Linked DNA regions of Arabidopsis thaliana. The protein of the gene in region 1 interacts with the protein of each later gene in a pairwise test. Each region holds a gene or a part of one and is shown in the gene's direction. Other genes may lie near its edges. The genes, in order: RR14, UBA1A and TIFY8.

Evidence for each region.
Region 2: the proteins of RR14 (region 1) and UBA1A interact in binary tests that used the Arabidopsis thaliana proteins (3 or more experiments, as listed by UniProt).
Region 3: the proteins of RR14 (region 1) and TIFY8 interact in binary tests that used the Arabidopsis thaliana proteins (3 or more experiments, as listed by UniProt).

What each region holds. Positions count from the first base shown.
Region 1 is NC_003071.7:330,008-335,687, forward strand, and holds RR14 (response regulator 14), read left to right. Parts: upstream 1-2,894; 5' UTR 2,895-3,033; coding exon 3,034-3,382; intron 3,383-3,460; coding exon 3,461-3,865; intron 3,866-3,948; coding exon 3,949-4,025; intron 4,026-4,105; coding exon 4,106-4,507; 3' UTR 4,508-4,689; downstream 4,690-5,680. Other genes in the region: MAP70-3 (microtubule-associated proteins 70-3), read left to right, coding at 1-81, 181-336, 445-591, 716-787, 884-1,408, 1,502-1,695, 1,799-1,841; AT2G01755 (uncharacterized protein), read right to left, coding at 2,242-2,781; VIT1 (vacuolar iron transporter 1), read right to left, coding at 4,768-5,065, 5,441-5,555, 5,647-5,680. UniProt on the Arabidopsis thaliana protein: Transcriptional activator that binds specifically to the DNA sequence 5'-[AG]GATT-3'. Functions as a response regulator involved in His-to-Asp phosphorelay signal transduction system.
Region 2 is NC_003071.7:9,388,095-9,393,774, reverse strand, and holds UBA1A (RNA-binding (RRM/RBD/RNP motifs) family protein), read left to right. Parts: upstream 1-3,268; 5' UTR 3,269-3,324; coding exon 3,325-4,368; 3' UTR 4,369-4,725; downstream 4,726-5,680. Other genes in the region: AT2G22100 (RNA-binding (RRM/RBD/RNP motifs) family protein), read left to right, coding at 230-1,378; AT2G22088 (uncharacterized protein), read right to left, coding at 4,726-4,973, 5,235-5,391. UniProt on the Arabidopsis thaliana protein: Acts as a component of a complex regulating the turnover of mRNAs in the nucleus. Binds with high affinity to RNA molecules that contain U-rich sequences in 3'-UTRs. May function in complex with UBP1 and contribute to the stabilization of mRNAs in the nucleus.
Region 3 is NC_003075.7:15,715,635-15,721,314, reverse strand, and holds TIFY8 (TIFY domain protein 8), read left to right. Parts: upstream 1-2,447; 5' UTR 2,448-2,612; coding exon 2,613-2,859; intron 2,860-3,552; coding exon 3,553-3,722; intron 3,723-3,814; coding exon 3,815-4,071; intron 4,072-4,149; coding exon 4,150-4,246; intron 4,247-4,358; coding exon 4,359-4,584; coding exon of another isoform or gene 4,585-4,649; intron 4,650-4,655; exon of another isoform or gene 4,656-4,793; coding exon 4,794-4,882; 3' UTR 4,883-5,083; downstream 5,084-5,680. Other genes in the region: AT4G32580 (Thioredoxin superfamily protein), read left to right, coding at 780-950, 1,025-1,099, 1,201-1,437; AT4G32560 (paramyosin-like protein), read right to left, coding at 5,280-5,342, 5,427-5,549, 5,658-5,680. UniProt on the Arabidopsis thaliana protein: Repressor of jasmonate responses.

The sequences.
Region 1 (5,680 bases):
TCTGCTCTTGCAAAGGCTTCAATGGTTGATGACCTCCAGAATAAAAACCAAGAGCTAATGAAACAGATAGAAATTTGTCAGGTATCACTTTCGCCTCCTTTACCCAGCAGTACTATAAATTCCTGGATCTCTCTCCTTCGTTTTCGTGAGCATGCCTTGTTTATCGATTGTTCAAATTAGGAAGAGAACAGAATTTTGGACAAGTTGCACAGACAAAAGGTTGCAGAAGTTGAAAAGTTTACCCAGACCGTACGGGAGCTTGAAGAAGCTGTTCTTGCTGGTGGTACAGCTGCAAATGCAGTGAGAGATTACCAGAGGAAATTTCAAGAAATGAATGTAATAATTAAATTACACGTTTAGTGCCTCATTAGCCTATTGCTACCCTTGTACTTAAAATTCAATTCCTGTGCTAATCATAGCTATGGCCATTAATCCTTTCATTAGGAAGAGAGGAGAATCCTTGATCGGGAACTGGCTCGTGCCAAAGTAAGTGCAAGCAGGGTTGCAACTGTAGTGGCAAATGAGTGGAAAGATGGTAGCGATAAAGTGATGCCTGTGAAGCAATGGCTCGAAGAACGAAGATTTCTGCAGGTTACTTTTGATATTTTATTTTTGGGCTTCTGTTACTGCTTCGAGTTGTGATTCATATTCACAGGAACCATTGTAACTTGAGTAAGTGCATTCTTTAACCATTTTCCTGTTTCTTTTTGGACAGGGAGAAATGCAACAACTACGTGACAAACTTGCCATAGCTGATCGAGCTGCAAAATCTGAAGCTCAGCTAAAGGTAAGAATTCGGAGTTCAGATCCATATAGCTTTAGTCTTCTTTATGTCCTTATGTATCAAGGCTTTAATTAGAATTGCTGCTTTTGCCTTTTGCAGGAGAAATTTCAACTGCGGCTTAGAGTCTTAGAAGAGAGTTTAAGAGGGCCTTCAAGCAGTGGAAACCGATCGACACCTGAGGGAAGAAGTATGAGCAACGGGCCTTCTCGAAGACAATCCCTTGGCGGAGCTGATATTATTCCGAAACTGACATCAAATGGATTTTTCTCCAAGAGGTCACCAAGTTCTCAGTTTAGATCTTTGAATGCTAGTACAAGCACAATATTGAAGCATGCGAAAGGAACATCCAGATCATTTGACGGAGGCAGTAGATCTTTAGATAGGAGTAAAGTACTAACAAACGAACCCAGATCGAAGTTTCCATTGAACCAATCTTCTGAAGGAACAAGCGGAGGCGGGTCACCTAATTCAACAAAACAAGGAGATTCAGAGAAAGCAGCAGGGACAAATAATGATAGTGTCCCAGGAGTATTACATGATTTGCTTCAAAAGGAGGTGATAACTTTAAGGAAAGCTGCTAATGATAAAGATCAAAGCCTTAGAGATAAAGACGAAGCTATTGAGGTTAGTCATTAGTTTTACACCTTTCCAAGAAACGTTTGCTTATATTTATTTATATTCTCTGATCAAAATACTTGGGCTTGTGTTTGCTTTTAGATGTTGGCCAAGAAGGTTGAAACACTAACAAAGGCGATGGAAGTGGAAGCAAAGAAGATGCGAAGAGAAGTAGCAGCAATGGAGAAAGAGGTTTCAGCTATGCGTGTGGATAACAAAGGATCAGATAGTAGAACGAGACGTCACTCTACTAACTCAAAAGGAGCTTCAACAACTGCACAGTTACTTTCTGGAAGGTACCTGATGTTTTCTTATTATAATGACCCAATGTAACGATTATAAGTTGGTTAGGTTAGTTTTCTTTAACACTTGAACGTTTGCTTTGCATTGTTGTTTTAGCAGAGGCTCAGGACGAATGGGGATGACGAGGAGCACGCAGTGATCAAAGAAGTCGATTCCACGAGCAAAATATGAATCTCAATTCAGTGGTTAATAGATTGAAGGAATGACAAAAAGCATACAAATATAGAAATCCAATATGGGAGGTTTGTGTGCTTCTTAACATAGTAAGATTTCAAAGTTAAAAACTGATTTTTAATTTCTTGGCTGATGTTTATTGTTTTCCTCATATATAGAAAAGAGTTAGGTTTGTGTTTTAACTACTAACTTGAGCTTAGTGTGTGATTTATTGTATCTCTCTCTATCTTACCTTTGTCCATTTTTCTCATTTTGGGGTATGTTATAGATTTAAGAAATTAGTTCAGAAACAGAGGTGAGAGTTATTAGTGAAAAAATTGAAATTGTCATTAGTTTCATTGATCCAGACACAACATTCACTAACATTAGTTGAGTCTGGTCTCCTTGAAGGCTTGAAAAGAGATGTCCCTTTGAATATAATGAATCTGTGAAGGATCAAAAGGACCTCTCACTCTATCAATCTTTGTAATGACTGCTCTCTCCGGCAACACACTCCTCGCCGGATCCACCGCCGTTTCTCCGCTCAAGCACGACGACACTCCTTTAAAGATTACAACTTCCACTTCTTCATCGTCGACAATGGCCGTCACTATAAGCGCTTCTTCTCTACACGACTGGCTATATATCTCCAACATCGCCATTTCCTCGTTGTATCCATACATTTCATCTTCATCTTCACCACCTCCCTCGTCTCTCACCCTTCTCCGAGCACCGCACCAGAACATCTTCAAAGCTCTTCTTCTCTCCGCCACTGGAGGGACGGTGAAAAGTTTTTTCCGGTAGTTATACGAGTTTGTGAGCGAGGGTATTTTAGTCATTTGATCTTTCTGTCCGAAAACGAATAATCCGGCTATGCCACCGGATAAATTCGCCGGCGTGATAAGCATTCTGATATTGTAGTGCATGAGGACCGTGACTTTGTCTATAGATAAGATTTTAAAGGACTCGTGTATGTTTACAAATAAGGGTAGTACCAATTGGATTAATTACAACAGAGTGCCACTACAGCTATTACCAGTCGCTTTCGTTGCCTCTCTCTTCAAACCAGTGGCTACTTACTCAACACTGTACGTCTTCAATCATTTCTTCTTCTTTCTTCTCCAACCAAAATCTCTTTCTCAGTTCTCTAGGGTTTTCAATACTCACACCAAAGCTTAATGCCGATCAACGATCAGTTTCCTAGTGGGTTAAGAATACTCGTTGTAGACGATGATACTTCATGCTTGTTCATTCTCGAGAAAATGCTTCTCCGTCTCATGTACCAAGGTCTAATTCTTTATCAAAGTTCCCACCTTTTAATAGATTTTCTCAAGAAAGTTTTAACATTTTTGTTTTATCTTCTCTTTGTAGTTACAATTTGCTCACAAGCTGATGTTGCGTTAACCATTCTAAGAGAAAGAAAAGACAGTTTTGATTTGGTGCTAAGTGATGTTCATATGCCTGGTATGAATGGTTACAATCTTCTTCAACAAGTTGGTCTTCTTGAAATGGATCTTCCTGTCATTAGTAAGACTCTGTTGTTATGTTTTGTCTCTAAAGATTGAATCTTTGCATCAATGTTTCTTACATTTGCTCTGTTTCTAGTGATGTCTGTTGATGGAAGAACAACTACAGTCATGACTGGAATCAACCATGGAGCTTGTGATTATCTAATCAAACCTATTCGTCCTGAAGAGCTTAAGAACATTTGGCAACATGTTGTTAGAAGGAAATGTGTGATGAAGAAAGAGCTTCGAAGTTCTCAAGCTTTAGAGGATAACAAGAACAGTGGTAGCCTCGAGACTGTTGTTGTTTCGGTTAGTGAATGCTCAGAGGAAAGTTTGATGAAATGTAGGAATAAGAAGAAGAAGAAGAAGAGAAGTGTTGATAGAGATGATAATGAAGATGATCTTCTTCTTGATCCTGGAAACTCGAAGAAGTCACGCGTTGTTTGGTCTATTGAATTGCATCAACAATTCGTTAATGCCGTAAACAAACTTGGAATTGACAGTATGATCCTAAACACTATCTTATTGCTTGTAGAAGAAATTCAAAGTAATTTGTGCTTATAAGAATCTCTCTTATTGTTTCAGAAGCTGTACCAAAGCGGATTCTCGAGTTGATGAATGTTCCTGGTTTAAGCAGAGAAAACGTGGCTAGTCATTTACAGGTTTCTTTGATTGATTGATTGAATCTTTCTTCTTATTAGGGTCTCTATAAGGGTTATGACTGAATCAATACCATTTGCAGAAGTTCCGATTGTATTTGAAGAGATTAAGCGGTGAAGCTTCGCAGAGTAATGACTCTGAGTCTACCAAAAGATATGAAAACATTCAAGCTCTGGTTTCCTCAGGACAATTACATCCACAGACATTAGCTGCATTGTTTGGTCAACCAATAGACAATCATCACTCTGCTAGTTTTGGAGTTTGGATTCCTAATGACAATCTTGGTAGATCTCAAAATGAACACTTCTCGGTTGATGTATCATCCGCTTCTAACCGTCCTGTTTCTGTGGCGGTTCATGGTCTATCTTCCTCAGCAAATTTCAGACAGAGAGGTGACGTTAACAACAACAGAATCAGACAAGGGTATGGATCAAATGTCAATGAAGAATCTTGGATCTTGGAAAGATCTTCAAGACAAAGATAGTGACCAATATGGATACGCTTAAGAAGAGAAGGCTCTGCAACTGTTTCTTTTAAATCTTCAGGAATGGATTAATGTCAGAAGAAAACTTGTGTGTCTGCAATGTTAGCTTAGGAAAGTAATTATGTAACCAATATTTTGAATTGTTATCTCTCACTTTATTATGGTTGCCAAAAGTTTTAGCCTGATAATAACCACAAGACATGCAACAAACAAGTCTCAAAGTACACAAAACATCAAACGCAACACTAGTTTTGTTACTGCTAATGTTGCACAACTTTAGCCAAACAAAAAGCAGCAGCTGAAGCAATCGCTCCTATAAAGGCGGTTTCAAACGCACTTCTGAGGGGCTTGCTTCCAGTGAAATGCCCTTTTGCATAGCCAAATATGAAGAGCGCAAACAGAGTTATAACCACAGACGCCACTACCGCATCCATGGCATGCGGTATGAGCATGTAGGGAAGTAACGGTATAAAACCGCCAAGAACATAAGCGATTGCAATCGTGAACGCGCTTTGTAACGCTCTTTTTGGATCAGGCTTCTCTAATCCCAGCTCAAACCTGTAACGAAACAATAAAGTCTCACTTATATAACAAGTTACATGCTTATAGTAGGAATATAAACATTTTGTGATAGGTAAAGAGTGTTAAACTTAACCAAATCAATAAGATAAGTTTTTATATTCACGTAATTTGTTGTTTTCTGTTTGTTACTATTCACGTACTTTATTTGTTGCAACAAAAAAGATTAAAATTGGAAGTCGGACCATATAAGAATCTTGCCCACACCTGGAAAGTATAAGCTCAGCTTTTGCAGAAATCTAAAAGTATCCCTCGATTTTCTCTTTAATTAAGACTATATAATATACATAAAATAATACTAATGGACTATATAGTATACATAAAATAACACTAATTTTCATTAGTGAGACTAACCTCATCATAAAATCAAGCCAAGCTTGAGGATTCTTACGAAGAGCATTAACTACAGGTGAATATTCATGTGGCTCTATCCCGTACTGTGCCAGAATCTCTGCCACTTCAGCTGCCTCTGTTTTAAATCCATATCGTAATTAAAATGTGTTAAACCGGATAATTTTCTTATATATGGATGGCTTAGATTGAGTGTAATTTGGTCTTACCAGTTTCAGGAACGGCCACGATCTCTTCTTGTTC
Region 2 (5,680 bases), 9.1 Mb from region 1:
AAAAAAATTATGTGTTGCAAAAAAAAAAGCATGTCTGAGCCCGGGTTCGAACCGGGGACCTCTAGTGTGTGAGACTAGCGTGATAACCGACTACACCACCCAGACGTTTTTGTTAGACTCTTTACTTTATTATAAATATACTTAAATAATCTAGTGTTCTCTGGTGCACCCTATTTTAGAGGAGTTACTCTATTCAGAGTGTTTTTTTTGGTAGCCACTGCCGTCAACAATGGCGAAAGAAGGAGAAGAACGTAAGAAGGAGAAGAAAGAGAAGAAGGAGAGGAAGGAGAGGAAGCGTCGCGAAGCTGAAGAACTCGCTGTAAGAGAGAAGAAAATCTCAAAAAAACATAAATCGAAATCCAAAGAGGAAGAGAAACCAGAGAAATCAAAGAAGAAATCGAAGAAATACGAAGAAGTAGAAGAAGAGGAGAAATCTCCATCTCCATCTCCATCTCCTAAGAAATCGAAGGAGAGTAAGAAGAAACATAAGAGATCATCAGATGAATCCGAAGAGATCGTCGATTCAAAGCCTGTTACGGTCCCGATTGTTACCATTGAGTCTGATTCTGATTTCGAATTCGATAAGGAAGATATTAAGAATCTACTTGAATCTTACTCTAAAGAGGAGCTTATTAACCTAATTTACAAAACTGCTGAGAAAGGTTCTAAATTGATCTCAGCAGTGTTTGAATCAGCGGATAGAGATAGTTCTCAACGGAACATATTCGTGCGTGGTCTTGGATGGGATACAACGCATGAGAATCTCAAGGCGGCTTTTGAGGTTTATGGGGAGATAACGGAATGTTCTGTGGTTATGGATAAAGATACAGGAAGAGCTAAAGGTTTTGGCTTTGTGTTGTTTAAGACGCGTAAAGGAGCGAGAGCGGCGTTGAAGAATCCGGAGAAGAGAATGTATAATCGAACTGTTAGTTGTTTACCAGCTAGGCCGTTTAATTCTGGAAAGCCACGAGAACAACAACAACCGGTTGAGTCTGTGAAGATTGATTTGAGTCATACGGGTAATCAGAGTGAAATGGCTTTGCCTGGGATTGATTTGGGTCATGGACTTGATAAGGGACATCAGCAGCAGCAGAATATGTCAATGTATGCTGGACAGAACATGCCCTTTTATGGACATTCTCAGCCTCCTCCTGGTTTTAATCCTATGTATGGTGCAATGATGGGTAATCCGATGGTTGCTGGTTTACAGAATTATCGTATGTTTGGCTCGGGTATGATGAATCAAGGACCTATGATGCCACCGAATCATATGGGAATGGTGGGACAATATGTTGGTGATGGTAATGTTAACGGTGTTGGTGCGGGTGCTGGTGCTGGTGCTGGTTTTGATGGTGAACGTGCTTGGTATCTGAGATAAGAGAACCCAAGTGGTATGACCATGTTCTCTGATATTTCAAGTTATAGATTAGGCTAATGATTAGTCCGGTATCTTCGACTCCAACTTGATATTTTGGGAATTGCAGGAGTTTTTTTTGCGGATCTTTATTTTCTATGCCTGATGTTTCAAACCTACTTTTTTAGTTTCATTATTTATAGTCTCTTTTAACGAGGTATCTACCCCTATATGAGCCATTTTGAGGGAGATGTGTGCTCAAAGGATGAATTTTCTGTTGCTCTCTGGAAGTCTGTCATTGGTGTTCTGCTCTGTTCTCATAAACCAGTGAAATGTGGTCATTTTGTCTAGAAGATTTAGTTACTAGGATCAATATTGGTTTAAAGTAGTTTGCTATCTCTTTGTTTTCCCTTTTGGAGTCCCCCATTATGGTCTTCTGTCTTCTCCTTACCCATCAAACTCACGTCTGGTTTTCTTCTGTGGCATGGCGTATGTTTTTCTCTTTTGTTTTTCCTTGTTTTTGGTTTTATGTTTTCCCGCATTTTCATTGAATATCTGTTCGCTATAGCTGGAGAAGAAGCTTATGACATTTATAGTTTTGTCCACTATATGTCATAACTGCCAAAAGTCTGTATCTTCCAGCTGCAGTTGTCTTGAGACCCGTTTGTAGGATCAGACATAATGGTTTTACATTCTTGTTTTAAATCTGTCTTTTTGAGTACTGGAAAAAGTTTTGGGACTCTTTCAAAAGCTTCAAGTTGATTTTCTCTGGAATAAACAACCTGAGTTTTCTTTCCTTCAAGCATTGTTTTCTTCCCCATAGGTTTTTATAAGCTTCTCAATCTCTTTCATCACATTCCTCTTTTATGGTAGTGTCGCCCCTTTCTCTTTTGTATTTAAGAGTCCATTTTGATATCAGTTGCCAAGTTTTCTTGCCTAAGTTCAAGATTGTTTTTGGTCATCGGTACTTGGACCCAATTTGTTTTTCACCTTACATAGCTTTGTTCTGGATTTACCTTTTTTTTACCTGCTCGTTATTCATATTCTATATAACTCTGGTTATGGTAGCAAAGCATACTTGTTTTTTTTTTTTTTTTCTTTGGATTTTCACAATGACCTCACAGTGACCGATGATGCGAATGCTTGTTTTCTTAAGAGGATCAATCTTGTTTTCAGTTTTTCGATTTCTTAAGAGGATCAATCTTGTTTCTCGGTTTTTGGTCTTCTCTGCAGCTATCCATCCATCCATATGAATCAACTCGTATTAATCTATAGTATGCTTCAGCTAAATCAACTTTGGTTTGGTTTTGGTCATTTGATTTCGTTGTTTTGTGATCATGATCTTATGAGGGCTTTGTTTTTCTTTCCAATGGGGAAACTCTGAAAATCTTAAGAACAAAAACAAAACCCTCTCTAAGATCTCGGTGACTATTTTTTTAGTTTCTCATAACACATAAAGATAAAAAAGAAAGAAAAAAAAGTTTCAACTGGTGAATGAATAAACAAGTAGCAGAGCGACACCACCAATATGGCTAAAACCTCTGCCTAGCCAGGAATCTTTTCTGACGGCGCTCTAAAAGAAAAGTACCACAAAGTTCACACCCCGTAAAGTTAGGGAGCTTATGGTATTCCGGTTGATGTATAGCCATCATAACTTAAAGCCAGCATCTTGCCATGTAACCTCTACAAAGATCTAAGGCCTTATCTTAAATATAAAGCAAATATTTAAAAATATGTAAAATAATAAAAATATTCAAAATAAACCAATCCAAAAATAATCTAAATATTTGAAAATATATTCAAAGCAAAATACTCGAATAAAAAAAAAATTAAACTGAAAAAATCGGAAAAACGACATCTCGAGGATAAAGTAAATCGAACTCTTGACCCGAGGGGAAACAGGAAACTGAAATCAAAAATCAAAAATCAAAATCCCTAAAAGCTTCTTGACTCGTTTATCCTCTACTACAATGGCGAAAACCCTAGACAAATCTAAGAAGCGCAAACTCGTGAAATCCAAATCCACGAATTTCGATAAGAAACAGAAGATTAACAAACAACAACAACAACCAGAATCCTCAACGCCATATTCAAGTTCAAGCTCCAGCTCTGATTCTAGCGATTCCGAATCAGACAACGAATTCGACCCAGAAGAGCTCCGTGAGCTTCTACAACCTTATTCCAAGGACCAGCTTGTCGATCTAGTTTGTTCCGCTTCTCGAATCGGATCTTCGATCTATTCCGCCGTCGTAGAAGCCGCAGATCGTGATGTTACACACAGGAAAATCTTCGTTTATGGTCTTCCATGGGAGACGACTCGCGAGACTCTTGTTGGAGTCTTTGAAGGTTATGGTGAGATTGAAGAGTGTACCGTTGTTATAGATAAGGCTACTGGTAAGGCTAAAGGGTTTGGATTTGTTATGTTCAAGACTAGGAAAGGAGCTAAAGAAGCTCTTAAAGAACCGAAGAAGAGGATTCTTAATAGAACTGCCACTTGCCAGCTTGCTTCTATGGGTCCTGCGGCTTCAGGAAAGGGGCATGATCAACCTGGTCCGGTGAAGATTAGTATGGGTTCGATGGCTAATCATGGACAGCCTCAGCAACAGCAGGTACAAGGTCAACATGTGTTTAACGGTGGTGGAATGGCTGCTTCGCCGTTTATGTTAGGGAACCAATACCATCCGCTTTATGGAGCTGGGATGTTGGGAAATCCAGCTTTAGCAGCAGCAGCAGCAGCTGGGGGAGGTTACATGTATCCGATGTTAGCGGGTGCTCTAGCACATGGCGGGTTGGGTTCTGATATGGTACAGTCTAGTCAAATGGGTGGGATTGGTGTTGATCCAAGCGTTGGTGCTGCTGGTCTTTCAGCTCTAGGTTCTTACTTTAGAGGTCAGAGTCTGCCTAGTACTTATCCTGATTCGGATGCTGGTGGAAAAAGAGGGACGGGTAAAGATTCGGATGCTGGTGGCTCCTCCTTTCATGGCTACTCAAACTATTCATGGTACGTTCACTGAAACCTTTGGTGTTTTGTAGCAATGTTTGTGCTAATATTGTGGTTTGAATGTCTTTGGATAAGCATAAATTCATTGTAGCTCCGTCATGTGTAGATAAATGGATTAAGGCTTTTGTGGTAGTACCGGAATTTTATCTGACATTATTATGCCTCTCTAGTCAAATAGTTGGCTTAAATGCCTAAATATGTATATTCCTAGGAGGAACTGCTACAGGAATTAAATACCTAAATTATGTTCTAGAGGTAGGTTAGCATTGTCATCGGTTGCCGTAATTCATTATTCATGAATCTTGCTTCGACTCTATTTCAAGTAGATGCAATGTGACCCACCATACTTTTGTTTTTTTTGTTTTCTCCATTATTTTTCCTTTTGTTGGTTTATGTTTTGTTTTCTTTTCTTTACTGTCCCTGGTTTTACAGTTTTCTCAAGTGCCATTTGTTTTATCGAAGTTAGTTTCTCTATAGGTTGGTGATGGTGGGGACGAATATTGTTACATTCTTTTTGTCTCTTGGCTTTTTTTGTTTTAGTGTTGCACTGGGTTTTATAAACTGAACGTCCACCATCTCTCCACTCATCTGGTTTTGGTGCTAACGTCTTTAAACGGACTGTAAACTATAGCATCTGTTCATGCTGTTGCACTCATGGTTTTAGACTTAAGTTTGAGTTTTAACATTTTTTTTATGTTTGTCCCTTTGATTTCTATTGTTTTCACTTTTCGGGGTTATCTTACCAGAAAGATAGAGCATTGCTCTTGTTTCCATATGTTTTTCTTTTTGTCTTCAGCTTTTGATAGAGTTATGTTTTGTTTTGTTTTCTTGAACTCCAACTTTTGCAGATGGTGTGGGCTGAGCATGAGAATGATAAACATGCAGTTTCTGGGGATTTCTTTTTAACATTTCTATCAAAGTCAGTACGTTTTAGTTTTTTTTTGTATTGTTTTTTCTTCCTTTCTTTTTTTTTCTGTTTGATGTCACTCTTGTCCGATATCATACGATAGACAGTCTGTGGCTCAAGTAATATCATTGTGATTATTCGTTAAAGACCTCTGTGCAATCTGTATTGTGACCTCTGGGGAAAAAGGTTTGCTCTATGAGGACTCAATAGGATTTAACTTTCTTTTAACTATTTATGACAGCTAAAGTTGACCCTTGAAGTTGTTATATAAATTTGATCGCATTTGATGACCTCATAGAGATATGCATATATCATTAATGATGGGCTAAAGAAAAGAAAGCTGGTGCCATTGGATCTGAAAATGTTACACTAAACAAAGTCTTGGTTTATGGAACAACAAAGACACAGTTGAAGCTAA
Region 3 (5,680 bases), on another chromosome or scaffold:
TCATCTTCTACATGTTATAAGGCTTTTTGTCTCTGTTGTTAACCCATTAACAAGCCCATTTAACTTATTTTCAATTTATATCTTCGACTTATCTTTAAATTATAAATTGAAAAGACGTTAAGTGGGCCTTTTAGTGCTAATTTTTTCAAGCCCATTTAACTTATTTGAGTCTTGGAATATTTCACTTGGAAAACAATGCGCTAATTCCATCTCCTATAATTTCCCTGTATATATTTTGAGAAGATGGATGGATTGAGCAATTTTAAAGACAAATATTTATGTAACTAAAAAATTATTCTTAACTTTCTGATGATTTATGTCTGAGGGAAGCATCTAGTATGCATTGTTTCTGTTTCATGTGAGATAAGCAAGAAAAGTAAGTGGGAAACAAGAAAGCAGAACAGTGAGATTACCAATTGTGCAAACAATCATATCATATAGTATACTTTGTTCGCCATCTTACTGTCACTTAAACAACAAAATTCACTATCATCGTTTAGCGGATTATTTTCAACTATATAACCCAGTAAAAGATAGTTTACTTGTCATGTGGTATATTTGACAGTTATCAAACTTTTGAGAGTTTGTGACACGTACGATACAGACACAAAATCAAATCTCCCTCTCCGACCATTTTTTTTTCTTAGTTACATAAATCTCTTTTCCTTCTCCAGCAACAGAAGAATTCTGCTCGATAATAGATTGGTAATCACAAAAAGAAAAGAAAAAGTGTTGGAGATCCTTCCGAGAGAGACGCGACATCTCCTTCCTCTTCGAAGATGAGTGGTACTGTGAAGGATATCGTTTCAAAGGAGGAGCTTGATAACTTGCGCCACAGCGGAGCACCACTCGTGCTTCACTTCTGGGCTTCTTGGTGTGACGCTTCGAAGCAGATGGATCAAGTTTTCTCTCATCTCGCTACTGATTTCCCTCGTGCTCACTTCTTTAGGGTTCGTCGTCTCTGTTCGAATTTTATCTCTTTCAATTGGTTTTTGACTTTGATTGGTTTTATTTATCTTCTTAGGTAGAAGCTGAGGAACATCCTGAGATATCTGAGGCTTATTCTGTTGCTCTTGTGCCGTATTTCGTCTTCTTCAAGGTAAACTTTAGGCATATTGATTCTTTGTTTGGTTGCAATTTTTTGGCTTATTGACAAAGCTTGAATCTTTGTCACTGCACTGAATCCTTTTCTTATTGAAGGATGGCAAAACTGTGGATACACTTGAAGGGGCAGATCCATCAAGTTTAGCTAATAAAGTTGGCAAAGTTGCTGGTTCTATTACTCCTGCAAGCTTAGGGTTGGCTGCAGGGCCAACGATTCTTGAAACTGTTAAGAAGAATGCGAAAGCTTCTGGACAAGACCGAGCTCAGCCTGTATCTACCGCTGATGCTCTCAAGAATCGTTTGGAAAAACTCACCCTGTTATGTTATTCATGAATGGTACTCCTGAAGAGCCTCGATTTTTAATATCTATTGAGTACTTTCTTTATAGTTGGAATTCTTGTGGATATATATCAGGTAGCTACTTGGAGCAAACATGTTGCTAAAGTTGACCTGCTACTGTTGTTTGAAGAACACGTGCTATGTCTTGTCGTTGAAGGAATTATGTTCATATGGGAAGAACATAAGCCTACTGGAAAGTTTACCCCTAGCTCTATTGTTAACCCAGATACTTGAGCCTCCATATCACAAACATCTAGTTAAGGTTTGTGTAGTAAGAACAAGAAAAACAACACGTGTTCCCAATTCCCATATAAATGACCATTATACTTCTATCAACCCAATTAATCACAGTCCGGAGACTAGTTGATTAAAAAATCAGCTAATACTAATTTGGTGGTTTCAATAAACATCTTAAATACTCCATAATTAAACTAGATTAAAGTGGGAAAAATCGTCATGAGTAGTTGTAAAATCGATTTCATTTAAGAGTATAGAAATTCGTCATGAGTGGTTGGTTCATGAGTTCTCTCTCTTACTCATATTAGAGTAAGAAATCAAACACTTATAATCATTCAAAATTCAACAACTCTCATCTCAAAACCATATATTTAGGTAAAGTTATATGCATACATTTTGCATTTTAATTTTAAAACAGATTATTTGGCGCGTAATGATAAAATTATGTGTATAAAAATTATTTAACTAATCGATCTAACAACCACATATGAGTAAAGTAGTTAACATTGTACTACTACACCAAATTATAGTGTGTTGGTTAGATTAGATACACAAACTCACTTTCTCAAATCAATAACATTATGAATCTATGATAACCTTAATTTAAAAAGAGTCTATAATGCCATGATTTTACAATCGTACTTTTTTCTTTTGGGCTGAACTTTTAATCATATATTATTTGAAAGATGTGATTATTATAATATTAAAGGGAATTAAAATCATGTAAGAGAAACCCAATAAAGTAGCTTGAAGAAGAAAAAGACAAGCTTTATTATACACTTACCCAGAAAAACAAAAAACAAAAAACTGATAATATCTCTCTCTCTCTCTCTCGTTGAGTGTGTCCATGAAATAATACTCTGCCAGAGACAGAGAGAAAGACTGTAACGGAGGATGTGGTGGCGAAGTGGCCACACTGACACACTGGTTTCATGATGGTGAACCACAACAATGGCCAGCGACCCACTGATATTGATTCTCGTCTCCGACAGACAGAACAAGATAAGCTCTTGTTCCATGACTTTTTAGGCTCCAAGAATCCTACTTTAGCATCCACTTCCATGGCTGACCATAGGCTACCACCGGATAATAAGGCGGCTAAAGCGGCGATGACTCCTTCCACGGCTTCTGCTTCCTCCGCCGGTGGACTCGGCGGTCTCTCCTCAACCTCCGATCTCGGTTCTGCTCTGTCTCTCTATCTCTCTCTCCTGATGTTTTTGTTGTTGTTGACGTAGTGTGCTTACGCTGATGAGGTTTTGAGCTGATTCCTCTGTACATTTAGGGTTTCTATCTATAGAAAGTTCAACTTTTGTTACATAGATTCGATTTAAAGTTGGATTCTTTCTTTTCCCCCTAGTCTGGATTAACGATCGAGCTTTGATTCACCATGATTTGAAAATGTAAGAGATCATGTGAGTTAGTTTCAAATTTTTTAGTCAATTCATTTATGATTAGATCTCTTAAGTTGAAAATGGAACATCTTTGGGTTCATAAGGTTGAACAAAATGTGAATGTACATTGTCTTGTTTCATTTCTTGCCTCATTGCTTTTTTAGTTCGACAATTTAAGAAACATGAACATGGATTGTGTGTGGGCATGTGGTTGCTTGACCTCTTGTAGTGTTAAGGACTCTCCCTCTCTCTCTCTCTCTCTCTCTCTCTCTGCCCAACCATAATGCCCTCTGGTGGATTAGTTGGGACATTGAGAGTGAATTTGACTGATGAGTTTGGTGGGTCATAGCCATTTGAGGTTGTGATCCTTTTTTATATGAATTGGCCCTTCTTTATTGCCTCTCGTTTTCTCTCTCTATCTCCTTGAGTTCCCTCCCACAACAATCTTTAAGTTACTTATCCATATTTTATCATTGTTTAGTCGAAAGACACAGCGGCGGTGGGAATCATCTTGATGGGATACAATTGTTTGGACCAAGAAGTGATGTTTCTGGCTCAATCATGAGCAATCGGTTTTCAGGAAATAAGAGAAGTAACTCTGATTCTCACTTCACGACTCAGGAGCACCCAGAGACTCTGCATTGGTCCAAGGTAACTAAAAAAAAAACAGAACCTACACAACTTCACCATGGTCACAGCTACGTAGAACTCAGTTTCTGTAATATGTCATTGTCATAACCTAGTTGCTTAGAAACGGACCTGGAAGCTTCTCCATGAATGTGAATCCTTTGGCAAACCAGCCTCCACGCGGAGGAGGACAGATCAGTCATTTGCTTCATCAGCTGTCTACTAGCAGGTTCAAAGATGAGAACGTAGGCCCATCAGTTATTGCTCAGACAGCTGCTGATGAAGGTTCACGAACAGGGATGAAAGGTCCCGGTATCTTGAGTTCTTTTACAATGCCAAACTCAAGCAAGCTCGAAAGTTTTGCCCCTTCAAAGTCAGTTAGCTTCTAGTGTTTTGTGTCTCTGGTCTTTCGATACTCTTCGAGTCATTTCAATACACTTTGTATTTGCAGTACCGGAAATCGGAAAGACTTGGCGTCGAGTACTAAGCAAATGACCATCTTCTATGGCGGTCAAGCTCATGTCTTTGATGACGTTCACCCAAACAAGGTGATTCTCCCTAACACTTATACACTTGATATTCAAGTTATTTGACTACATTTTGATATCTAAAAAGGTAGAGAATTGAGAAGTTCATCTGATGAATGTTATTTTTTTGCAGGCGGATGTGATAATGGCCTTGGCAGGATCAAGCGGAGGCTCATGGTCTACGGGTTTGTCTCATAAACCGAAGTCGAAGAACAACACAAGTGACGGTCCATACAAGCTAGGCCAAATGTATGAAGGAGGCAGCTCTAAGGAAACACCACAAATGCCCCCGGAATTTCGTGCAAGGCCGAGTCATCAACCTACCTCCAGTGCCTGTCACCGGATCTTTACACAACCAGGTGACTTCTTTTTAAAGAAAACCAGATTTCAGCAGAAATTTTGGTTAGCTTCTTACAAATACTGAGTGGAGTAGAGTAATCAGGTCTTATTTTGCATTGTGACATAATAAAATGAGGATACAACAGTAAAGAGTTATCAACTGTTCTGGGTTTTATCAACTTGAATCTGTTTGAGGAGCCATAAAACCATGTACATGTATGATTTGCAGGTAGAGAGCATCAAGGAAGCATCATCTCAAGGGGACGAGATATCAGAGATCCGGTTCACAGATCAGATCCTGAAAAAGAAGCCACATGATTAAAGTCTGAATATGAGAGACGATGAGTGTGGCTGTTCTTCTAAGTTGTTGTTTTTTTTGTTTTTTTTTTGTTTTTGGTCAACTTCTTCTAAGTTGTTATTTGTTGACTTGATAGCTTTGTACAATGCTCTGTACCTTTCTAGGTTTGTATTCAAACTCATCTCCTCAATGATTTAGAGAATAATATTTTCTCATAGCTCATATATAAACATATTGGTCAACCAAACCTACTATTTCTAGGCCTATCGATTTTCGTATATTTCCATGTAAGGCTGAGCATATGGATACATCACATCACAAGAGAATCATATCTAAATCAACTCTGGCTCTACTCTGGTTAGCTGTAACTCGAAAGGAGAGTCACTTCATATCACCTTATTCAAACCCTTCTTCGAGTCAGAGGTGTTCGTTCATGGCAGATATATGACTTCTCAGCCTCTCATTCTTAGTACATTCCTCCTGCCATTGAGAAATTTAGCACTACGTAAGTAGATGACTCTCGGGCTTTTCAGTATAAACACTTATTTCCTATCTTGTGCTAACCTGGTATGCTCTTAGTACAGTGTAGCATTTTCTTTGCTCTGCAGCTGCAGCTATATACTTTTCTTTTGAAGCATCACGGAGCCTCTGCTCTTCTTGAAGCCCAAGTTGTATTTTTCCAATCTTCTGCACTTTAAACATTTTGTTATGACAAATCATACAGCTATAGATAGGTAAGATGGGTTAGTTCATGCTTTGTGCCTCAAATACCTGATTCAATATAACTCAGATTACCTGTTGGATTCCTTTCATGACTC